Linked DNA regions of Drosophila melanogaster. The protein of the gene in region 3 interacts with the protein of the main gene of each other region in a pairwise test. Each region holds a gene or a part of one and is shown on either strand. Other genes may lie near its edges.

Region 1 (6,612 bases), on a different chromosome or scaffold from region 3:
CACTGTGCAATCCAAATAGGCCTAGGCGATGGCCCATTGACTGCCAACCATTTGGATGGCGTTGCAGTCAAGTTCTGTGCGGCTTCGTTCTCCTTTTCGGCCGTCATGGTTCATATCGCGTTTTTGACGCTGCCTCTGAAATATTCTGAATGTCATGCGGGGGATCCACAAAAGGTGAACCAATTTTCGCGAAATTGTCTGCGAAAAAAACGATGAATCTCAGATTGGGCCATTTTTTTTTTTTTTTGCGGCAAGCAGCATCATTAAATGTTTGAAGATCTTTAAAATATTAAGAGCATTCTGCATACATTACATGACGGCAGTGAGTCAAGGGAAAATTCATCAAATTATCTTAAGATGTCTAAAGTTAATTGGCTGCACATATTGAAATTTAAACTTAAATATTCTGTGTATATTGTTAACAGAATTTTGGAGTACTTTGTTCTTAGAAAAGCAATTTAAGTTCATGCAGCAAGTTCTCATTCCAGGAATTTAGATGTGCCAAAGTGCATTTGTAGGATGTTTGTTGTACATATATATATATATATGTATATATATATATATGCACATATGAGCCCACGCATTCAGCCATTTCATTTCGACATACGACGATAAGCAGGACGAAGTTTGCAACTTGCAATTCCTGCAATTCCTCGGCTGCTCCTTTGTTCTAATCAATGTCCGATTGAGTGGCGATGTGTGCACTCGGAAAACCCTATACAATATATATATATATATATCCTATACAATATATATATATATATATATATATAAAATAATCAATATTAAGCCATTGGTCATGTTCAAATGTGCTAAAAAATTACAAAAAATAGTCTTCGAATTCCAAGTAGTTTCCTAAAAACTCCTTAATATTCATCAAGAGCTCGCCAATTTTCTGAAGTTACTGCTCAAGAAAAAGTAACAAAAAGCCAATCCGATTTTGGGCGTTCAATGTGGCTCCTTCTAATCGCATTTCATTTTTTTCTGTGAGAAATGATTCATTGTTCTCGTTGAATGCAGGTAATAATATTTTTTTTTTTTTGTATTATCCTCCATGGACATTTGTTTTTTTTGTTTCCATTGAGCCGGGGAAACCCCGCCTGCGTTTTCTTTCTGATTTGTTTGATTGCTGTTGCTGTTGTTTTTTTGTGTTTTTTGTTGTTATTTTTGTGTTTGTTGGTGGTGCAATTGCTGGTACGATACGACTGGCAGACAATAAAGAGCATTTCATTTGAATAATGCGAAAACATTTTGCTAGACGCCCGCTGCCATTGTCTAGCAGCCCATAATTTCCACCCAAAACGCCAAACGCCCAACGATGCCTGCCTCTTGTGCTCTTTAAACTGCTCAACTGACATGCCGATTGCTTTTGTCTGCACACCTATATCTGTCAAATACACCTCCGTACACTCGAGTCTGATTGCCCCTTGATGGACAGGACAGGAGAGTTCAGCTCAGCTCAGCTCAGTTCAGTTCAGTTCAGTTCAGTTCAGGGGGCGGCAGTGGGTATATTTGGTCATCGGAAATTGTCGATGGGTGGATAGCACAGTCACAGTCCGTTGTCCTGACTTTATGTTCCCCTTGGACTGATGAAACTTTAACTGGGGAAACTCCACATAGAATTGCAATACAAAGCTGATTATCGGTAGTATCGATACGTTTGATATTTGCTTGTCGATAGACATGAAATATAGATCAAATATGGCTGACCTAATTACTTCCTCATTTAAGTAACTAAATGGTCCCGTCAATTGAATGAACAGTTCACTATTTCGTTTCTTTTGTCTTAAACTATGAAAATCGATTATTTCGATAAGTGTACAGTTTTCACAATTGGTTATCGATTGCTCAGGCAGGCAGACGCAACGCTGACCAATTTCCACGGTAATTGCAGCGCACTCATTGACGGACAGGTCGTAGATGCCTTTTTCAAATAATGTCTACTTCGTTGCCTTGCTTCGAACCAATTTGAAGACCTCCTTGTTTCTCCTTGCCGTTTCCTTCCTCTGCTGCAATTGTGCGCCGTTTTTGGCGCCCAAACTTTGGTGTGCCTCGCCTGAAAGTATGCCACATTGCCCGTGACGAGGAGATTATTGCTATTGTCGTATCAATTGGAGTACACCCCAACAGCCTAGCAAGGAAGCTAGGAACTGCAGCTGTGGTCAATGCTGACCCTCGGACTAGAGTCAAAAGAAGACTCAAGCGACACCACCCTCATGACCTCCCTAACCTGGTTTTGACCTAGAAAGTCTTAGTTTTAAAATTCATTAGAATAATCAAATAAATAATAATTACTATGTTATATCAACTATTATAATTCTCCCTATCATTTTTAGGATTAAAAATCTGTTAGTCTTAAGTAACCAAGACACATTGTAAAATAAAATAATTTAAGCAGATCAAATTAAGTTGCCGCATGGGTAACAGTGCGTTGATCAAATAATAAAAACATCATCGTAATGGAAAAAAAAAAAAAAAAAAAAAAAAATCAATTGGTAGCATTTACATGCGGCGCGTTTTTCTCTATGTTGCTGAATAAATCACAGACCATACGAAACATGTTCGTATGAATAATTTGTGGACTGTATTGCTTTTGGGCCATTATCCTTCGATGGAATGAGGTCTCGTAATTGCTTTATAAAAAGCATGTTTTTGGGTCACCAAAAATTGCAGCATAATCGATTAAATTAGTAAATAAATCAATAAACATTTCCTCGGCCGATTGGCGACTGGTGTTAGATTACTAATTGCCGTTTGGCATTAATTAAGTCGCTATTTAGCAATTAAGAGGTGTTTGATGGCATTTAAGGAAATCGGTGGTTCACAGTCCATGATATTTTTTAAATGAATTTTTGAATAATAAATATAATATAAAATAATATAAATTAAGACATTTTTGTTTAAATCCAACGAATATAATTTTAATTAAATCAAACCATAAGTGTTCTGTTTTGCTAAACACCTTTCTCCAGGGTATCTCGCATAGCCCTAAACATTTCGGGCAACAATCCCACATGGCTATCCACGCAGTTGCTGGTGCAACGTTCCAAGCTATAATCGGATCCATTGAGGCGGCACTGCTGGATGCACTTCTCTAGGCGATTCTCAAAATCGGATATACCCTGCTGTACGAAGCAGCGTGATCGGGTCAAACGGATTTGGCAGCGATCGATGCACCGCTCCACCGCCTCCGCATTCGCGTCCGCATCCGCACAACAGGCGGTCGCACATCTGTGCATCTCGATCTGCAATTTGCGCAGATAATCCCGATCCAGATCCTCCATGGCGGTTAGGATTGCATTGTCAACGCGTTCTCGCTTCTCCTCCAAACTCGAATTGTCACAATCCATCTCGAGTAGTATAAAATTTATGGAAAATATAAAAGTCGGTTGGTAATTTTCGTTTGACTGCCCTTATTTGAGTTACGCAAAACGCAATGCTACTTTGGTTTTGTAATAATTTCTTCAATTTAAATAATATATGAGCAGGAAATGGGCGACTCGCAGTGTTAAGTAAGTTAGGTCATGTTCTTGACTCTTCTTGGGCAAATTTTTAAACTAAAGTCACGGCATTGACATAACTCAGTGTGAAGCTATCTCTAATTGAGTTTGAGTTAATTTGTTTTTTGCTGATAAGTGCACTACTGAAAGTGTATATAAGTAGAAGTTGGACAACGTGGCCGTGCATAGTTTTTAAAAATGCATTACTTGCATATCTTTGGGCTCTTGGTCTTTTTGGCCGCTTTTGGATTAAGCCTTGAACGTCGTGATAAGGAATTCTACGGGATATCTAAGGAGCAGCTAACGACTACTAAACATAAAGAGAATTCTGTGGAATTTGTACAACACAAGATATCCTTGAAGCTGCCGCAGAGATACAACCGATTCAAACGTCAGTCCTTTACGCCATTTGAAAGGCGTGTGATACGTTTACTACGTAAATTGGGCTTATTAAAAAGCGATGCTGAACAACTGTTGGATACTCTCGAAAAGGACAAGGATCTATTACGAAGATTGAAGAAGTTACTCGACGAGGTCGACACCGAACATGAGACCAATGATTTCCTTGAAGATTTCTTCGATTTAATATTTTTCAAAAAAATATAAGCAGCTTTCTTCCTGTTGTTAGGAATGATATTGATCGATAACAATATTGCCGATTATACCGATAATTAATGCCATAAAATCGTTTATTTAAATTGTTTTAGATATTGCAAACAATCTGATTGCTAATAGCTAACAATATCATTACGATAATCGTTTGGATTATTCTAATCCCTTACTTCCTCCATCGCCCTCACACGCCATCACTCTCTCTCTCTCTCTCTCTCTCTCGATAATTATCGATAGTTTGGGCACTTGTGTTGGACCAACTTAAAACACCGCACAAATGATTGCCATAAATTTGATGGCAACAAACAGCGACAACAAAAACAAAGAGTAGCGCTGCCGCCCGCACTTTCTCCGCAGTTCTCGCCATTTCTCCGCTCTACTTTCTCCGCTCCTCTCTCCACTCAATAATGTGCCAACTGTTGAGTTTCCTTCCGCTTCCGAATGCGAGCGCGAAAGAGAGAGAGCGAGAGCGAGAGAGGGTGTGAGACAGAGACGGGGCGAGCGGGAGTATGTGGGCGTTGGGCGGCAAAGGGTGAGGGAGTGAGAACGATACGGCCACTCGCTCGCTTGCTCGCTCTCGCTCTCTCTCTCTCCCTCCCTCCCTCTCTCCCTCTCGCTCTCTCGCCGGCATCGAAGGCTGCTTACAGGTGTTTATAGTACTTCGGCTTTTGCCGACCACAGCCGAAGTTGCCGGCCGATTGCTGGCCTCTCGCTCGCTCCCGCGCTTATGCTCAATAGCGCCCTCTCGCTCCCGGTCGCTTTATATTCCTGGCAATGCGTCGCCTTCGCATCAGTTTCATTTGAACGGTCGACGAGGCGCGTTGTTCTAGAAATAAATAACTCATTTAAATAGCAGAACAGCCCAAGCAGGCCAAACATTTCAAAGCAAAATACCAAAACTCTCTGGAACTACCAAGTTCTTAAAAAAAAACACCAACATCGCCCAAAACACAACAAAAACATCGCATACCATAAGAAAAACATAAACATACTGAAAAACTTACAATATCTAAATATAAAGTAACTATTTTTTTGATTGTGCTTCTAAGTGTTGTGCTAAACCAATATTAACTTGTACAAATATTCGAAAATATTCAAAGATATTCCAAAGTATTTATTCAATACTTGAAATATAAGCTACGATACAAACTTAAAACTTAAAACTATGTAAGACTAAGATCTAGTTTTTGTGCTTTTTGAATCCTAACTGTTAACGTGTAAAAGCACGCAAAAATGTGCACGAAATTTTGACTTGATTCGAACGACTGAAAAGTGCGTTCCATTGTAAAGAAAAACTAAAGCGGCAAACCGAAACGGTAAATATGAATATACTTATTGAAATTCATTGAAAAATTTCCTTGGAAAATTTGTTGATTAATTTCGTGATGTGAGAGTTTATTTGCCGTGTGTGATTGTGAGCAGCGTGTTTGTATTGTGATTTTTCGGAAATGTTTTTATATTTAGTCTTCAAATGGGGATTCCCAGATTTATTTAAAGTTTCAGCTACAATTTTTGGCAAATATTCGTAGTTTTAGGAAAAGCTCCACAGAATATTGTATTGTATGCTTCAGTTAATAGAATCACGCATGGAAATTATCAAGAATTCGGTTCTCAGCTTGTTGTGTTGAATTTGATGAGTTTTTTTGGAATATCATAAAATATAATCGGATTTTATAGTTTACAAAGAGTTTCAAAATTCCACAGATGTAAAATAGTTGACTCGAATTGCTTGAATATATTAATATATCTTAGTTTAAAGCAGTAATTTTTTAAAAATTATTTAAAGCTCGAGCTCTTTTTAGGCTCCACAAATATGTGTGCAACAATGTGTAATTTTGAATAAAATTCCGTGGAATGCCCTTTGCTTTTCATTCTGTATAAATTCAATTACCAACATTCTCATTGTCTCAGAGTATCCCCCTACTTTCGAATGTCTGTGTGTCAATAAGATGATTTAATGAAAAATCGTCTGCAATTTCGGTTCGAAATTCGGCAAAAACACGGCGAAACAAACTCGTTACGCATACGCCGTGTGGGCAATTGTATTAAACGATGCCATTCATTGAAAATTGCTGGCCAAAGCGAGCGGTTTAGGTTTTTTTTAGGCCACTCCGGTTAAGGATTTGGGTGTGCTCTTGTCGGCCAGCCAGTCTCGTTAGCCGAACTTGTTGCCACATTCGCATCCGCACTGGCATCCGCAACGACATCCGCACACGCATCCTTCGTGTACGTGTCCTTTTGCTAATCGGTGCGTTTAAGGAACTGCATGCTGGAGGATGTTGCAGCTCTTGTATTGGCGCGTGACCGGCTTTTCTCTGACATAAGAGCGCGAAATGGCGAAAATAACGTAATGGCGAAAGGCGGCACTCTGTGCGGTTGGCAATCTTTGATTTCGCATTTCCCCGGTAACAGGGGAAAATGTCAGACAACGTGGCGTATACGTGGCATTTGTGTTTGTGCTTCCGCTCGTTTGTTGTCCTCAAGTTTGCATTCAACGACG
Region 2 (7,972 bases), 320 kb from region 3:
TCCCCTTGGAGTCGTGGCTTAAACTGGACTTCCAACTCCAAGTGTGCAAACCCAAAACACAAACGAAAACAAATTCATTTAAAGCAATTTGCATGAAGAGAGAGAGAATCCTTTTTGTGCTTGTTACGGTGACTTTATCGTTTATCGTTTTGCGAAAAGGATTTTATTATATTCACCAGAAGCACTATCCTTTTGCCTTTGCATGTGTGTCTGTCTGTGTGTGTGTGTGTCTGTGCGGCAGAAGATTTTTCGCCGAGAGGAAACTGTATGTGTGAGTATCTGTGTGTGTGCCACATACTGAAAAGCGACAATTTCATGTCCAAATGCTTTCCAGGTGACATGAAACAACACTTAAGTAAGAAGCCTTTCTGGGGAAGGAGGTGGGGTGGTGAATATTCTGCCTGCAACTCTCTGTGCAACTGTATCCATTCCACCCACTCAACGCCCACCCATTCACTCACACACATTAGCAGTTAAATTTGTTGGAGTGTGTGTGCGAGTGTCTCTGAACCAACGCACCTGGCGTCGAAGAATAATATCTCTTAACGCCAAAATCTACATTTAAATTGTTTTCAATATAATCTGCATGTCCTGTCCACCGAGTGAGCAATGTTCGAGTGTGTGTGCTGCACTAAATGAAAGCAGAGCTCAGACAATGGGAATCCTGGGATCAGGACACTTATGGGCACGGGCTACGTGCTCCCAAGGATATGCGACATGTGCCACAGTTCACATGTCCGAAGTCATCAAACAAATCACTCAGAGATATTGATTCAAGGAGGTAAACACTGCAGAAAACATTCGATTCAATTAAAATATACTCCAATTAGCATGATACTCATTTTACATATTTTCTTAAACATTTAGTATTTATTTAATATAAGCTTATAATTATGCTAAATATAAATTATATATAGATTATTTGAAATGTTCATCTTGTGTATCTTCAAAATATCGAAACTTAAAAAATTACACGAGTATAGTCCTGCTTATTTGATGATTCAGAAATTGTTTTAATATATGATTACTTTACATAACGTTTTGGTATGATTGGATTGCATTTATGTTGTTTTCAATTGAAGAATAACTATTTGCAACTTTTAAACCAATCACAATTTGGCTCTTTAGAAATTCAATTTTTAAAAGCATACATTTTAAATTTCATGGATGAATTCTTTATTCTCAAATGCATTTCTTTCATGTGAATCCTTTCGTATTCCAGATCCCCAGACTCATGAAGTGGGTGTAGAATTTCGTGGCGCCGCCAAGAGCGTCCAGAAATTGAGTACCGATCAGGAGTTTGGGCATTCGGACACTTTTCCCAAAAATACCCGGTGCATTTTCATTTTCCTATGCAAATGACACATTGCTACACACACATTTACATATGCGTTCGTTTGTAAGTACCGAAAAAAGTGCCACATGTGCGTCTCTTTTGACTTTGAGATGCACTCGCATTTATAATAAATGGCAGCGCGTTAACACCCCAAAACATCAAAATACTCATTTTACAAAAATTCCCCAAAAACGTTCAGTTCCCCTCCCCACCCCGCCCGCTCCACATACCATTAATTAGAACGCACTCGACTCGAGGACCCTCAAATGGACCGGCCACGCCCCCTTCCTTGGATCGAATGGAATCGGATTGTTTGTTTGTTTTTTCTCCTATTTCGGTATCTTGTTACGATTAGCTAGTCCCAATTAGCTGCGATTTTCGTGATTTGGCCTTGAGATATTGGAGCATTAAGCACTTTTATGGGAAATGTACAATGCATATATCAAGCTATTTTTAAAAAAACACACACACACTGTAATGATTAAATGTTGTTGATGTTACCAATAACGTACGGATTAGTTTTCTTAAATAAAATTAGATTTTGGCTTTATATACTTGCAGACCTTCTAAAATAATTTAATTTGATTACTTTTTAGATTTTCCAAGTCCTTACACCACCCAAAATTTAAATGCACATTAAAATATCAAACTTTTTGTTTATTGGGAGCCAAGATAGAAAAGCAAATATGTTTATTAAAATATAAAAACATGCTTATATTTGTTTGCTGTATGTTATTTTTTGTAGTTTGATGTGACATAGATTATATTTATTTCAGCTGGGCTTATAAAAAAGGTTTTATGTTTTTGTTATTTTAATATTGAAAATTCTCTTTTAAAATTTCAAAGAATAATTGGAAGCGGATCAAATAAAACACTAAACTACTCAATATTAAAGAGATTGTATACCCACTCGTCTTGAAAAACATATCTTTATATGCCTGCAAATTTTCTTAAACATTATATTTAATTAATTAAATTAATGTTTGATTTTTTGAGATTGTAGAAAAATGTTCCAATTCTTCCCACGAATGTATGCCCAGACGTATTTTGACCAGTTATTATGATAGCAAATCTTCAGCAACTCTTTTCTAGTTTTTCCAATTATTTCTGTATTGTACTTTTTTATCAAAATCGGAAAATTCTTAGCCAACTTTGGCTACAATATCCAATTGGGAAGCCTTTCGATCGTGGTCCGCCATGAAATCGCTTCCAACGTCGACAGAGAGGGGTCGGCAGAAAGAGAGCGTCGACTTACTTTCCAGTGCTTGGAGGTGGGCGTTCTCAACGAACAAAGCAACAACAGCCCCAGAGAGTCTACCCTTCTCACTCGTTACCAGACCACTCACAGACGTGCAAGCGAGAAGGCTGCTGCTCGTGGCTGCCAGTCTGATTGGAACGCTGGCCAATGGGAGAGCTCCTAACTGGCTGGCTCTCTCGCGGCCCTGCAGCCATCCCGTTTACATCGCTGCTGCCATCTCTGTCACACGCAACCGCGCTGCTCGCTGAGCGGCCGAAAAACAGTTTGTTCCGAAACGCGAATAGGTGCGCATCTTCGCATCTTGGCATCTCCGCCGCGTCGCCCAGTAAACTCGAAAAAAGGCCGAAACGAAAGTACCGACGAACGAGTTACAGTCACCGGATAAGTCACAGTCGGTTATTGAGTCGCAGTCACTGCCGTCGTCACCGTGGAGATACCGCTGACAGGTTGGAACGGAACCCGTTTTTACTGGAGCATTGCCAGCGGATCGGATCGGCAGATGCAACCGACGTAGATAATGAAGTGCGTGCAATAGTTATGATAAAAGTAAATACGAAAAAAAGGGACCCGAAAAGACAGGCAAACCTCTCTAGAAATGTCTCGTTAAATATCAAAAGAAACTCGCCATAAATTCGAAACTATGTTTATTATTATGGATCACATATCAAAAAGTTTCCTAAGCTGACTTTAAAAAATTTCGATACAGTGTGGAAAAAACTGAAATACCAATCAGTGGGTAAACTCGCAAACCAAACTGACACATTCTTTTGACCGAAGACTGAAGAGCCGCGTACATTTGTAAATCTGTTTGCGGCAAACACTTGAATCCAATTTGCTTTGCCCGGCTGTCGTCTGTGTGTGTCTTTTTTTAACCATTTTGGTAACCGGCCGCCAAAGAGTCAAACAGAGTCAATAAAAATCAAGTTAAAACGGATGAAAACGGACGAGCGAAATAAAACAGCAAAGTCACACAAAACAAACAAAACATTTTCCGGCTCCGGCGACATTAACAGAACTGCTCGACATCGACAATTTGTTTTATCAATTTTCAACAAGGCCAGCCAGCAGCAGCAACAACAACAATAGCACAACACCCAACAAGCCAGCAAACAACAAAAGCGCCCAGAGTGCTTAGCCGTCGAGCACGCACGCCAAATCCGCCCAGCCACCCAACCCAACCACCCACTGGCCACCCACTTGAACCTCCCTTAAGCACCCAACACCATCCCCACATCCTTGGCCACCCCTTTTTCGAGGGCTCCGCCAGCATCCGCATCCGCAATCGCAAAAAAAAATAAGAAAACAACAAGCAAACAACGAGGGACGCCCCACAGTGAAGCCCCGGCACAGTGAACTCGCGTGTCGCCGCTCTTTAGGCCAACTCAGCCAGCGAGACAATGGCTGCATATGCGCAGTTTGGATACGCTGGCTACCCGACGGCAAATCAGGTGGGTTTATGCCGGTGGTTTGTTTAGAGATTAACAGTTAACCGTTTTTTTTAAGTCTGTATTGATTAGTAAGCAAACTTAACTTAAGTTTTAAACGGTTATTTAGCACAGACAACAATTTTAAGGAATCTTTTAGTATGGATCCAATATTGTATCTTATATATACATTTATATTTGCTTTGAAAATGTTGCTCCCTTTAGATTTTGTCAATAATATATTCAATTTTAAAAGTAACAAATTCCAAATCAATTAAAAACCTTATCCAAATTTTTTTTTGTAATCTCATAATTTGTGTTCAAACTGAAGGCCATAAATACCATATTATAAAGAGCACTTTGCTTACAATAATTATTGTGAATAGAATCTGAAGATTTATAAATACATTGATTTAAATTGAGTAGAATGCGAAAAACCAGTTGAAAGAGCAAATTTCTGAATTATTGCTACTGGGTGCCTTAAATTTAAATTTAAAACAGATGGCTTAGTCATAACAATTTATATTGGCCATGAAATTAAATTTATTAATTTCGTTATATGTATTTATTATATTTTGATTTACAGCTGTGCCATTTCAATATGCAGCCATAACTTAATCATTTCAAGAGACACTTGAATATACTATTTATTTAGTGCGGACTAAAATAATATTTGGCACACACACAAAAGATGTTTCATAAAACCAGAAACTGAGTCAGTTGAATATTTTGGCATGTGCGAAAAGGGAAATCTTTAATAATGGACGGTGCGAAATAACTTTAAATTTACATATTAAGCCGGCGGGTTTGGGGAGCAGCCACTGCACATGAATATTCAAGCACTTTGGCACCGGTTGGGGCTCCTGGATCCCTATATATATACATACATATATATATAGATATATATATATATATGCGGATATAGCCATAATGGCCGCCCCGCCGCCAAGAAATGTTTCACAATTTAGGACAGCCGTCACCGCCTTGGATGCAAATCGCTGGTAACCGAAGGGGGGGGTCTGGTGGGGCATTCCGGTGGCAGTGCATCGTCCGAGGTCTGGTCATAATTACCCGGTATTCGGAGCTCAGTAATTCAAATTAGTTGGCCCAAACGGGGGGAAGTGAAACACTTGCAGCTACAAAGCCCTTGCAATGCCTGTGTAAGCCATGTTCAACGACTACTATGTGGTCAAATGCGTCAATGCTAGTGCGTTTATCCTGCTGCCAATTTATGTACATTTATATATATACATATGTATATATGTGTGTATGTATACAATATTCCTGACCACGGTGGCTGGCATAAATTTATGCTAATGAAGCCGCCGGCGGAGTGGTGCACCATTTATTATAATATGCAAACTTGGTAAATTACAATAATTAAAATAATGAACGTTCAGATTATCGACTATAATTATGGCTGGAGATGTGCAAAAAGCCTTTTGCCTTGCAATCGATTAAGAGCCAACAGAATTTTGTCATCGTTTTCGGCTCATTTGCATACGTCTACTAAAGCCACTAAAAGCCACTAAATGCGACTAAGCCACCAATGAAAGACTGGTCAGTTGATATGGCATTCGGGTGCCAAATTTATGCAGTGCACACACTCGGGTTCTCATTAATTTAATTTTAATTTCGACGCCAAGACGGCATTCCAAATATAAAAAAAAACGACAATATATAAATTTAATCAACGGCTGACAGTTGGCAGTAGCAAAAGAACTTGCAGGCACATCGCACATCGAATTCTTAACTTCCCATGCGAGCTGTTCACGCATTTCATGGCAAAATAACTAAAATTCTAAGGCAGCAAAAAGTGCGCGACGATGTCGAGTCCTGGATTCACATAGGCTCCATCTGAAGCCCCCCCAAATTCCCCATCTCCATCTCCATTGGGACGCAAAAGGACAAGCCCGTAAATGATGCGAGAAAAAACTAATATTTCGCAGTGTGCATTCCATAATTGATTTATGAATTTTTAATGCAAACATTGAGACCGCAGTTGAGTTGCGAAAGAGTTGTTCCACTGCGAACCATAGTATTCTGCGCCCCAACTTAATTCAATAAGCAAGCCCCACAAAAAACCGAGCAACTTATTCGCATTAGCAAAAACGCACTTTGGAGCCAGTCCCTTTGGCCATTCAATGCACGGCGAGAAAAAATGTGGGCAATTGGTAGGGGCTTATTCTCAAATTTATTTTAATGACATAGAAGCGAAATAGAAGCATAAATCGGTAAACTTAGCTGTTCACTACCATAAAACTTATATCCATACCTTTTATTTAGATAACAAACATAAATTCTACATAAATTTAATTCATTTTAAAAATTCTTATTCAGGAAGGTTTTTGTTTAAGTAATGTTTCTACAAGTTCTATATAGATATTTAAATAAATTCAATTGATTTTATCTTAATTTATTCAGTAAAATAGCAGTTGTTAAATGTATCTAGAAACTAGAAAGTGAGAATTGTTAGACTTTTCATACTATTGAACTCTTTCAGCTATGTAGTCCAGGATTTAATATGATTTTTTGTAGTATTATTTTTTCCCAGTGCACCCTTTAAAGTGGGCCTGGGTATCTGTATGAATATGGCATACTCGCTTGGCAACGCAATCCTGCGGATGAATGTGAGAATATGCCAAATCCAAGAGGAGGACTGACTGCGAACTCGAATGCGAACATGTGTTTGTTTGTAGGGACTCCTTCGCATTTTCAGCTTCCTTGTCGCCGAGCTGGGATTCTCATATTTTCGCTTATTGTTCTGGCCTGGCGTCAAGCCAACCCCCCAACCCGCCCAACTGAAGGAAAGCCCCTCCAACTAACCAACCAAGCCCAGGCCAATAGCTTTTGTTTCACAATCGTCGTTGTTGTTAGGAGTGCAAAAACCAAATCCATAAACGCATCTCCAGCGGTAGCAGAAACAACAGCAGCACCCAATAACCACAACAATGCCGATCTCCTTTGTCTTGACTATCCCATACCGTGCCATCCCATGCCATCCCATACCATACCAAACCATACCATACCATACCATCCTAACCATATCGTACTCGTGCGTTCGTGAATTGGCAATGGGTGGGAGGGGGGTAGGCAGGAGTTGGTAGGCGGACTCGTGAGCTTTAACATAAATCATAAAATTAATAACCGTAAAGTGACGGCACCAGCTCCACCAACATCTTGGCCCCAATGGGTGCGGGTGGCCATCTGTAGCGGTATCGGTAAAGGTATCTGCAGATACGTATCTGCATCTGTGCATCTGGAACTGCATCTGGATGCGTATATGGATGTGGGCACATCAAAGGCAGAGATAGAGATTTACACGATGTCCATGCCGGTTCAACCGAATTACGGTCAATGAATATTCGCCCGCTTTATTCCAGCTTGTTTAGGTTTTATGCTCTTGTATCTGTTGGTTTTCAGCTCGTTTGGACTTTCGCTTGTCCAGCTGTTTTGCAGATTTCATGTTTGCGTTTTGCGGCTAAAGATGCAAGGTTGAATTGCCACTTTGAACTTTGGTAATGGCGCATAAAAATCGGGCTCGTATTGCTTGTCTTAGTGGTGATTGCCTGCCCTTCAAATGGTTTCTCACTGGCAATTAGTGGGAAACACATTCTGGCAATATTGATGACTGGTTTTTGCAGGTCTTTGATTTTGCTGGGTATTAGCAATTTAATATTAGTAATTTCAAGAATAGGTTCTTAGTTGGAATTGCATATTTATTGCTAGAAAATAATTTCAAGTTTATATAAACATAAATAATATTTATAGCAAGCTAGAGACCACAATTTATTATTGATCGATTTTTGTGCTCCTAATTTTTTTTTTAGTTTTATTACATTATGGTCCAACAACACATGTTCGTATGTATTACAACAATTACCACAGATACATATATTTATGAATACATTTTATTACAACTTACTCTTTTTTGTACCCAGAATATTACTATCA
Region 3 (11,072 bases):
AAAAGAAATCATCTTTCGATTGCAAATTCAAAATTGAGTGGCTTTGTTTAATACTTAGGTTATTCTTTATAGTCAATTCTTTAAGAATAAATAAGTATTGATATAAAATAACGAAAAAGTATAGTAGTAGAAATCCTGAATGTAGTCATTGCCAAGTTATTTATTTTAGGAATATTGAAATCCATGAAAAAAGTGCCCTCTCAAGTGAAAGAGCATTTGAATAACTTTACCATCCATAGCAGTCACAGTAATTAATTGTGTAATTCACACATTAACGAGCGGAAAAGGATCATTCAGCGGAGGAGCACGTGGTTGAAGGTGGTGCAAGTGGTGCTCTCAATGGCAAAAGGACACTGCAGAAAGGACTTCCAGGACATCGCTTCGTCATTCTCGAGGGCAGTTTTTTCGGAATGCGCAATGCACTTGTTTGGCCTTGTCCGCTTTTGATTAATGATGCGGACACTGAATCTCTTTTTTACGGCCACAGTTAATGCGTGTATCTGCAAACGACTTACACGGATATCCTGCAAGGGAAATGGGGTGCGTGCAGATTCCTCGCCGATGATGATGGTGGTAGTGGTGATAGTGGTGGTGGTGGTGGCAGTTGGCTCAACGGTGGTTGAGTCCCGGCTCTTTGTTTGCCCACTTTTTCAGCGACCCCTACCACAAACATCCCCTTCGAGGACCGTAAGGATATCCTTGGCCGTATCGGTGTCGCGATTGGGGTTTAATCTGGTTAGCGGCCCTGACGACGATGACGACATCCGGGGAGGAGGCACAAAAACCGGATACCCGGCGAGACGGTGACGTTTAAGCACAATTGCTGTGGCTAATGTGACACATATTGTGACAAATTGCACAAACTTGTACGGAACTTGGCGGAGTGACGGGGTCCTTGTTCCTTCCGCGACGGGGTTGGATTCATCCGGAGTTGTGTAAACACGTGTTGCAGTTCCTCGTAAATCAATTAGCCACCGATTGTCCAAGTGTTTTCCATTCGAGTTCCTAAATTCGGAATCGGCCTAGTCTCGGAAGGATAACAATTATGCAAAAGCTTGCTATTCAGTGTTTGATTGCTATGAGGTGTTCGTCTGAACACAATTGGATCGATTTACAAAACAAATCAACTTGAATTTCATAATTATTTATAGTTTAGCTTTTTCAAGGATTTTATATAAATATTTTAGTAGGATAATGAAATGAATTTTCTCCTCTGCTTTCAAAAACCATATTATATTTAATATAATATAATATTGTTTTTCGGCAAAAAAGTTGTTTGTTAAAAAGCATTTTTTATAGTTTGGTTTTCTATGCCTTTGAAAGCTTAAGGATTTACCACCCAATTTGTCTTAGATTTTGGGTTTGGGACATTCCGATGCAGTTCTTCCGCTCAAGCAAAACGAAAGGCCAGGATGCTAGTTAAAAGTGCTGTCCTTGGGCGGCATTTGCAGCACATTCATGTCGACGCTATCAAACGGCTCGTCATCGTGGGGAGGATACGGTTCCGGATCCCTTCGTATCCGAGCCTTTGAACTACGCATGACGAATCGGCATTTTACGCCCATTCCGAGCCGAAAGGACGAATTCAGCAGGGTTGCGACTGCTGTGGCAAATGCTTTGTGCCTGTCAACCGAGCGGAACTAATTTCGAGACTGCACCTGCAGAGCCACCAACATGGGATGCACCAACCACCAACCCGGCCGGTGGGTGGATTGCGCAAGTGGTCCAGCTTCCAAGGGGGGTGGAAGGGCAGTAAATCCACTTATCCGGGTTCGGGGTGTTTAAGTTCGATTGCTAGCACATTAACATTCTTTTATTTTACAAGGTCTAATTTTGATTTGGGCTTAAAATTCGACGGCCTTCGCCGGGCGGACTAGTGATCCATGGAGTCCTTGACGCCGCATTCGCCGTAGGATTGCAGCTCCTCCGGCCGGAAGTAGGAGCTTTGCATACTATATAGTCGGTCGATCGGATTGATCATAGGCGTCTGGGCAAAGGGACCCATTAGTTGCTGAAAGGTGGCGTAGCTCAGACCTAGAATGGTGTTCAATATGGGCTCGCTGTTCTTGTTGCAGTTCTCTGTAAATTGTATTTTATATTCCTTGATACGTAAATATCCTTAAAGGGCATAACCCACCTTTATTGGTCTCCATACAGTTGAAGGGCACTTGCTCCTGTTCGTCCTTAATGGTGCATCGCATCCGGGTCAGTCCATCGGAGGTCGTCGAGTACGGCGATTCCAGCTGTGATTCGCTGTCGCTGTGCGCCTCGTCCTTGATTTTGGTGGCCAGACTGCTGTCCAGCGATTCCTGCGAGTCCTGCGAGTCACTAGCTCCTTTGCTGGGCGGCTCCTGCTTGGCCTTCTTCTGAATCTTTTTGACCTTGGCTCGCTGGTTCTGGAACCAAACCTACAAAATACGATATTGGTTTAATAGAATATGTAATGATTAAATTCCATTTAAACCTCTTTACGCACCTGCACAATTCTCAGGCTTAATCCAGTATCCTTGGCCAGATTCTCTCTCACTTTTCGACACGGTTTCGGTGAGACTTCGAAGGAGGCCTTAAAAGCTCGTCTTTGCTGCGTGTTTAGAATGGTTCTCGGTCGCTTGGGTCCTCTTCGTCCGTCTAATTTGGGCGGGAAAAGCTCATCGCCATAGAAATCTACATAGTTATATGGTTATCATTGGGAACCGATTTCGAATAGGGCCATTACCCACCGTATCCCTGTAGCATCTCCACCTCCTTCTCGTAGTCGAAGCGGCAGAAGAGCTGCCCCTGTTTGACCACATACTGCTCCCCCTTCTTCAGCAGAGCTCCACACACCACACAGGCGAAGCACTTTAGATGGAAGACGTTCTCGTGGCATCGCATCACCAGCTCATCGGCGGCGATTTTAAGGCCACAGCCAAGGCAATGATTGCGGATGTAGAGTCTGTGGAGCGAAAATATAAATATATATCATATCATTCAAATATTAAGCTGTACCATTTAATAAACACTACCATTTTAAAGTAAGTGCAACTCACACGGAGTTGATTGTTTTAAGCGCCCCCCGTTTGGCAGGGTTCAGTAATCAGGACTCACCTCTCGTAGTCGACGCGGCAGTAGAGTTTGCCCTCCCTCGCATAACAGGAGTGGACCAGGTGCAGCGAGCAGGCGGTGCACTTGAGGCAGCCCTCGTGGAAGGAGTTCTCCACCACGCGCATGATGTAGCGATCGCAAATGGGCTGGCAGCAGTGGGCGCACTGGCTCAGCTGCGGCGATGCCATGGCCAGGCCCAGTTCCATGCCCATGCCGGAATTGGAGGCCATTCCCAGAGGCGCTTGCGGTGTGTTGGATGCCGATGGAGGTGCTGCCGGCGTTGCAAAGCCGTCCATTCCATTGAGGCTGCACTCGCCCAAAGTGATGCGGTTGCAGTGTGTATGGTTGGGTGGTCCTGGACCATGTCCTGTTCCTGTTCCCATTCCGGTTCCTGTGCCCGGTCCCATGCCCATCGGTTGCTTGTTTATGGCCATGTTGCTGCTGCTGTTGGTGCTGCTACTGCTGCTGCTGTTGCTGCTGTTGTGGTTACTGCAACTTCCGTTGACAGTTCTGCTGACTGACGCCATTTTGTCATTGTGGGCTACTCCGGCTTTGGTACTCGCACTCCTTCCGGCTGCCACCACCACCGATGTTGCTGCTGTCGTTGGTGTTGTTAACATGCGTTCATTTCCGTTCAACAGCAGCAGTTGATTGAGGCCCCCAGTTTGCGGCAGTTGGCCAGCACCCAGTTGCTGCTGTTGACATTTTATGTCCATCGGAACTATTTTGGTTTTGCGGTCGTGTCGTTGGTCCAGATCAGCCCACCGCCCCAAAGGAACATGCAAATGAGAAACATTTCAGTTATTTTTATTTTCAATGTGGCCAAGAGCGCCCTCAATTTACAACTATGGTTCGGTCATCAGGCATAAAAAGGGTTCCCGTTTTTGCGGGCAGGACCAATGTCCATCTGCCTCGCACTGTGACCATAACCGTTTCGAGTTGTAGTAAATTTGTGGTTTTGCAATTATTGAAATGACTTTTCCACCAACGGAAAGAGTGTGAGTAAATGTGCGAGTGTGAGTGCGACTGCACTCGAAATTCCCCGAAATGCCATGCGAAATGTGGCATGTAAAAAATACGACCAACGTGGCGTATGCGTAACCGATGCGTATGTGCGATTGTTTGGCTTGGTGGCAAAAAATTACTGTACATTTGCGGTGCTGACTGGTTGGCTTTTTGTGCCTTGTTGTCTCAATTTATGGCAAATTGTTGAAATTTCAACGTAATTTGTTTCGAGCTTCCAGCTTTTGTGCTCCTCTGTGTGTGTGTGACGTTCATTTTGTTTGGTTTTTCCCTTGTTTTCACTGGTGTGCGTTTCACATGCGTGTGTGTTTGTCATTCCGCATTTGAGTGATTTAAATGTGTGCGTAATTTCATTAAATGTTTTGCAAAAATAATATCTGGTATGCCAATTTATGCCAGAAATATGCCCAGAATGTTAAAGTATTCCAGCCATCGTTTACATTAACAATTTTTGCTACACCTCTTGCACTGATTGACGTGAATTGCTCTAGACCAGCTTGCACTCAGTTTGTTCTGCCAAATGACAAATAAATGCGAAAATAGTCGATTGCAGCTCTCAGTACATTTAATTGGACTGCATTTAATTGCCATTTGGATATAGAAAAACTATGCAGAAAAATAGCTGGGAAAATGGGAATCAAATAGTGTTTTGTCAACCAATTAAGCGATTTGTAAAATAGTCAGCAAATATTTTTGTGACTTCAGTACTCTAAATGAAATTCAATATAGTTTTTGGTTGATTTATACAAAACCACCGCAATATAAAACCTGCAGAAACAATTTAGCTTTGCTCTATCTAAAAACATTTAGAAATTAAGCTGAAAACTTGTTCTTTGAATTATTTTGTAACTTTTGGCATTAGCATTATATATATTTTTTTAAAGCATTTTTTGAGTTTTCACCTTTATATACAATTCTTTTTATATATTTAATAATGAATTAAACTTCATTTATGTGTAACAAAATATTGCTGACATGTGTGCTATGTTCGTTGGGTGTATTTTGGCTTTATAAACTTTTCAATATGCTACTTATTCATAGCAACTGAAGTCTCCAGCAGTGTTTAACCCAATTTCCAAGGTCCTGATCTCCCCATTCCCGATACCCATTAACTTGTGACACTTGGAACTGCGGGAAGCTATTTCCTAAGATGTGCAGCGGAATAATCCGCTCAACAACCACACCTGTTACACTTTTAGTGCTCTGTCATTGCCATTTGACATTTGAAAATATACCAACATGTTTGCCGGACATGTCGGAGAATAGAGCTCGAGGATTTTGGGACGACAAGTGTAAAGCCGACATTGATAGCACTTCCACTTGCCCACGCTCTAATTAGATTCTAATGTGCAGTGGAAATCGAGGGACGGGTTGCAAATGCCACCCCTTGCAGTGCTCATAACTATGTAGATTATAAACGAATTTCAATGAATCCGGGGGCTAACCGAGGGCATTTAGCTGGCGGATTTCCACCCTTACGGAAAATATGCTCGGGCTTAGCAAATAAGCATGAGGATGAGGCTGGAGGGGATCAGGATTTCGGTTACGGCGGCTGGCGGCTGGCTGCTGGCGGCATATGTTGGCAGTCGACGACAGTGAGTGGGTAAGCGGAAACCCTTGGAAATGCTTGCCAGGATGTCGGCTGCGCTGCCAGGATGCTGTGTGCTGCCTCCGAATCCGCTGTCAGTTGCCAGCAGTTCGCTCGGCAGCAACTGACAGCGCTTTATTTAATCGGATTTGAGTAGACAATAGAGTTATGGTGCCATTGCCGTTTTGTTGTGCCAGCAATCGCAGCGCAAATGCTTTGTTTTGTCCTAATCTCTGACAGAAGTCAAAATTTGCTTTGCTCTGGAAAATATGTTGTAATTTTCATTGGCTTTCAGCCAGTCGGATTCGAGTGGACGTGTGTGCAGTCGGTCATATGCATACTTGCCACTCTGGGTGCTAAATAGCATTCACTGAAGGCAAATTGAAGCAAAAGTGTTGAGATGCAATGTTTAAACTTGGGATTTGCTTTGTGCGAAGTAGAATTTAGCAAGAAAATGGCAAATTTTCACAAATAATTCATCTTTGGTTTCTAATAATTTCATGTGCAAAACTTATTTATGCTGCTATTAAGTTAGTATTTTTAAAACCAATTCAACTGAATAAAATTTGTATAAAATGTGCTGATCTCTTTGACTGTTATAAATCAAAATCACTAATGGCCAAAACGAAAATCCACTTTATACCTTTGAAAAGTGTGCAATTGTGATATCACAATTACCGATATAACACATGATACATGGTGGCTTATTCCTAATTCACTTATCTAAAGGTATTTGATTTGAGCTAATCACTTGATGCTAATATTTAAACTATGATTAAACTAGAGAAAAAGTGAATGAAATATATGCACTCTTCTACTTGAAGCTATTTACATACCATAAATTAATGAGCACTTTTTAACATAATTAATAAACTGATAGAAAAATGCCGACGGGATTGGGAATGTTGGGCTTGTAATGCCGTCGGTTATTGGAATAGATTCAGACTTCATATTCCTCGGGTTTGCCCATACTTACACATTCCGATCTGCATGGGATGGTGTTCGTCGATCATTTTGGAATCGTTCAGTTCGGGAATAGAAAAACTATATAATCACGTTCACAGACATTTATGAAATTTTCTCAGGGCTTTTCACGCGATTTTCCTACGTATCTTTGCACATTTTGTGAGCACAGCTTTCAGGACGCCTAAGGACACATTTGGGGACTCGAAATGCAGTTGGCAACTGTTGTTTTGGGGCGGCCAGTATCGGACTTCTGACCTGGCCCTGTTACGAAACGCGATGCTTGAATGATTACGGACCTCTGATGTTAATGAAATTTGTTAAAAATCATTTGCTCTTCTTTGGCCAAATGCACAAGCATCTGCTGCCGAGATAGGAAATTCTCTCCAACCCGAAGGAGAAGTGCCCACTGTTTGCCTTTGTGTGTGTGTGCGTGTGCGCCATTTTATGGCACATCCTGTGCTCCCATATCCTTTTTGGCTCCATCCCCGTGCAAGCCATTGAGAGCCAGCCATTTGCCTTTCCCCAGCTTCCGTGAGATTCGCCAGCTTTTGGCGCATGCGTCGATCGGAACCCCCATATCATACCATCTCATCTCATCTCATGCGTTTTAATGCCGATTTTGAATCCGGGTGGCGCTTCTGAGTTGTTTTGGCTTTTTGTGTTTTGCTGGTTTTGTTGTTGTTGTTGTTGTTTGATTTTTCATTTTGCACTTTTGACTTTTGTCTTTGTCTTTGCTCGTGGGCACATTTATTTGTTTTGTTGTACGTACGTATTTTGTATTGACAAAAGGATGTTTGGCTCGGCGATTTCTTGCTTGCTTTGTCGCCTCAGCAACAACATCCCCGCCCCCCCAAAAAAAAACAGGACTCTCCCTCAATGGCTGGAATTTTGTTGTCCTTCTTTTCTTATTTTTATTTTTACCGTGTGTGTGTGTGTTTGTGAGCTGGCTAGGATTTTATTCCCTTTTCCCGCAGTGGCTTGTACATTTTAAATTTATTGATTTTCGAACGCTATAAAAAGGACTAAGCTTAAAGACCAGTCCCGCTGCTTTAATTAAGGTTTGCGGCCCAGTGTCCAGGAGAATTTTGCTCAAAGAGCTAGCTGTTAATGAGGGTGGCCGGTGGCCCTTTAAACCTGGCCAAAATGAATTTTCTGGTCTATTAAACCGGGGCGCCAAAAACTTTAATGTCTAAGCACTTTGCCGGCTGACTGTATGTCTAGCTTCCAGTTCAGAGTTCCCAGTACCCAGTTGCCGAGATGAGGACTTGTCTGGTCGAAACTCCTGGCTCTTGGCCTCTTTTCCGACGAAAATTCCCAGAAAAGTTTCGTAAACGCGAACGTGTTACTCACAATTAGTGTGCGGGCGAACCATTTAACTGGCAACCAACCAGCCATCTTTCGCTTTCCCAGCCCACTTTTCCCAACTCCGACGATGATAATAGTTATGTGCGGTAATCTTTGCGATTCATAATCAGTACACGGAGCACGGGGATGTGCAGGGAATTTAAAGGACAATGGAGCTACATTAAATGCTTGATCCTGGGGGATTTTGCGATGGGTACTTCTTTTGTTGTGCTTCTTTTATATCAGGTAGGAAACATGTAATTTCTTAATAAAGGAGTGACAATAAATGTTGGCATTTGTTTAACTAAGTGCCAAAAACAATTGCTAAGTAATGCAAGATTTAAAAATACATTTTTATAAAAAATTGTAAGATCATTTAAACTGTATTGTGTAATTCATAATAATTTATTTTGTAATTATTAATAATTGTTATTTTGTTTAATTTGTTCATTTACTAACTGTTAACCTTATATATTTTTAGTTGGCACCTTAAACGATATCTATGTGTATTATGTTAAATCTTATAAATAATATTTATTGAACAATATTCTAAGAAATCTATATTTGTAGCTGATGATGATGAGTAATTGTTGCAGTTCTGTTGTGATGTTGTGATTTTGAAATTTTCATATACATTTCTCTCTCCTCCCTTCAGCTTCATCTCGCAAAGGCTTCCAAACTTTTGGCACTTTGTCTACGCAGAGCCTAGACATGGAAACTCAAGGGCGGCGGTTTTGGAGGCACCACCGCCTCCATCCCTGCATCCATCCATCTATTCCTCCATCCATCCCGAAATCCCGATGTCATCGCCTGTGAGGGGCCTTTAGATCGCATACCACTCGACACTTGCAGTTGGGCCCTGCTAATGACAAAGATTAATTTGGGTCACTGTGTTTCCGACGGCATTCCGATATTGGGGCCATTTGCGAGGGATCCGGTTGAATTGACTGAACAATGGGGGTCAGAGGGCACAAACTACACATACATATGCATGTATGTATGGATATTATGCGCGTGCCTTTTGTATGAGTGAGTAGTGTGCAGCCAAAGTGCATATGTGTGTGTGGGTGTGTGTGTAGGGAATTTGGCGGCGTGCAGCGGAAACTGAAATTGTTCGGGGTTAATTAAACACGACATGTGTGGCATTGCGTGCATTTGTCGGCGGGGTGGGGCGATCCCGACCCGCAAGTGTGAACTGCAAAATGGGGGTCAGGCGCTAATCAATGCGCCATAATAGACAAATGACCCAACGGCCTGGCTTTGAGTTCATTATGTTCGAATTGCCGCCGTGCCGATGCGTTTATGAAGTCCCAATTCCACTGGCACTCGCTATTTTGGTGACCAGATAGCGTCATCAGTTCATCAATAATGGGCAGCAGATCCATAATTAGCACGCCAATGGGGGGACATTTTTCTTCCAGTGCTTGTCTATTTTTATATACAAGGGATTATAAAAGAACAATCCGTTAAATATAATACTCAAATAATATTCAGATATGTCTTAATGCCTAACATCGGGTGCAATTCATATTAGAGTTATACATTTCATTACTTACATTTCAGTAATTTACTTCAAATTGAATTTACTAAATGGTAACATTTAAATAAATAACCATATTTAAACTACCCAAAACTAAACATTTACTTACAACTCTGCAAACACGACATTACAGATATTAAACCTCATGGATGCAGAAATTATATTTATTCAGATTAAATAAATAGCGATTTAATTCAGGGAATAAAAGTATAATTTATTTGACCATTTGACAGCAAAAAGCTTACACACAATTGACATAAACAAATTGTGAATATTTTCCGGTAAACTGTGCGCCACTAATGGCGTGATAAATTTCTGCGCCTCGGCTTTTCCGCTTTTCCCCGGCTGCATTTGTATGCAGGAAGAGCCTGGCCATAAATGTCCTCACATGGTGAAGGCACCACCCGCAGCTCCGGATCTGACCTGTTGAGCCAATCGGACCGACAGGGCCAAAAGGAACAAAAAAATAAGTGCACAAATATGTATTTATTTATATGGCCCAAGGAGGCGGCTCGGCAAACGCAGAATGAATAAAATATTTGGCATTACAAATTGTTGCGATTTTTTGTTTGGGGCCGAAAGGGATGCGGATTGCGGATGCTGTAAGCTCAGTGGGTGGTGGATGTGGGTGTGGCCATGTGGCAACAGAGTAACGCTGAATTATGCGTTGACCAGGACACAGAATGCGAGGAGCCAGGACCAAGGACTCTGCGCCGTTGGCGACACTGTTTCCATTACTGTGTGGCTGGCGACAGGCCTAAAAAATAAATAACACAATTTACCTTAGGCATAATAAAAGTTCATGGCTGGCAGTGAAAGAAATGGGTAAAGTTGCCAGGGTTGCTGTCCTCAGCATACAGTGGAAAAATAAATCTAAATTTAACTTATTTTATATATATTATAATTTAATATATATACAAACACATAACATCCATTTGGCATATGTGATTAACTTACCAATAAGTAACGCATATTAATGATTGAGGAATAAAGTTATGAGTTCAGCTGATAAAGCTTTATAAATAAAGCTATATAAACTTAATTAGACACTAATAACTGCATAATATACATGGTTTATACTATGTGCTTTTCAACTTGGTAGTCTGAATATCCTTTCATTTAGACTGCATCATTTTTCTCCGTGCACCAGAATTACCGAATGGCAAATAGCAACCTAGCCAGACAAAGTCAATATTTGATGGCCATTTTCGGCTGCTTTTCCAATAACCATTACGAATGGCAGATAGACGGGATTGGCAAGCATTTGGCTTGCAGCGCCGCACAGCGGGTTAAAACAAATAGTTTGCGGCACTACAAATACAACACTTCCTTTGAGGCGCCGGAGATCTCATATCATATCGGCAACATGGACTCGCAACGAAGTCGCAATGATGTCCCGCTGGCTCGCAGCGGGCGGCTTATACGGATCTTGGATGGCACCCATTTCACAATACTTTAAAGCCTGTCGCCCACTCCGATTAAGCCTCATCTTTGTGTGCCAGCTCCCAGCTCCGTATCCGCCAACCA

The links. The genes of interacting proteins can lie anywhere in the genome.
Region 1: the proteins of CG4328 (region 3) and CG12661 interact in a two-hybrid assay, tested with the Drosophila melanogaster proteins (one large-scale study listed by BioGRID).
Region 2: the proteins of CG4328 (region 3) and caup interact in a two-hybrid assay, tested with the Drosophila melanogaster proteins (one large-scale study listed by BioGRID).

What each region holds. Positions count from the first base shown.
Region 1 is NC_004354.4:8,920,269-8,926,880, forward strand, and holds CG12661 (uncharacterized protein), read right to left. Parts: upstream 3,420-6,612; 5' UTR 3,351-3,419; coding exon 2,955-3,350; 3' UTR 2,620-2,954; downstream 1-2,619. Other genes in the region: CG43255 (uncharacterized protein), read left to right, coding at 3,699-4,106.
Region 2 is NT_037436.4:12,606,778-12,614,749, forward strand, and holds the start of caup (caupolican), read left to right. Parts: upstream 1-2,853; 5' UTR 2,854-3,991; coding exon 3,992-4,042; intron 4,043-7,972. UniProt on the Drosophila melanogaster protein: Controls proneural and vein forming genes. Positive transcriptional controller of ac-sc (achaete-scute). May act as an activator that interacts with the transcriptional complex assembled on the ac and sc promoters and participates in transcription initiation.
Region 3 is NT_037436.4:12,289,163-12,300,234, forward strand, and holds CG4328 (uncharacterized protein), read right to left. Parts: upstream 6,962-11,072; 5' UTR 6,709-6,961; coding exon 6,672-6,708; intron 3,806-6,671; coding exon 3,088-3,805; intron 2,936-3,087; coding exon 2,721-2,935; intron 2,665-2,720; coding exon 2,477-2,664; intron 2,409-2,476; coding exon 2,138-2,408; intron 2,080-2,137; coding exon 1,874-2,079; 3' UTR 1,794-1,873; downstream 1-1,793.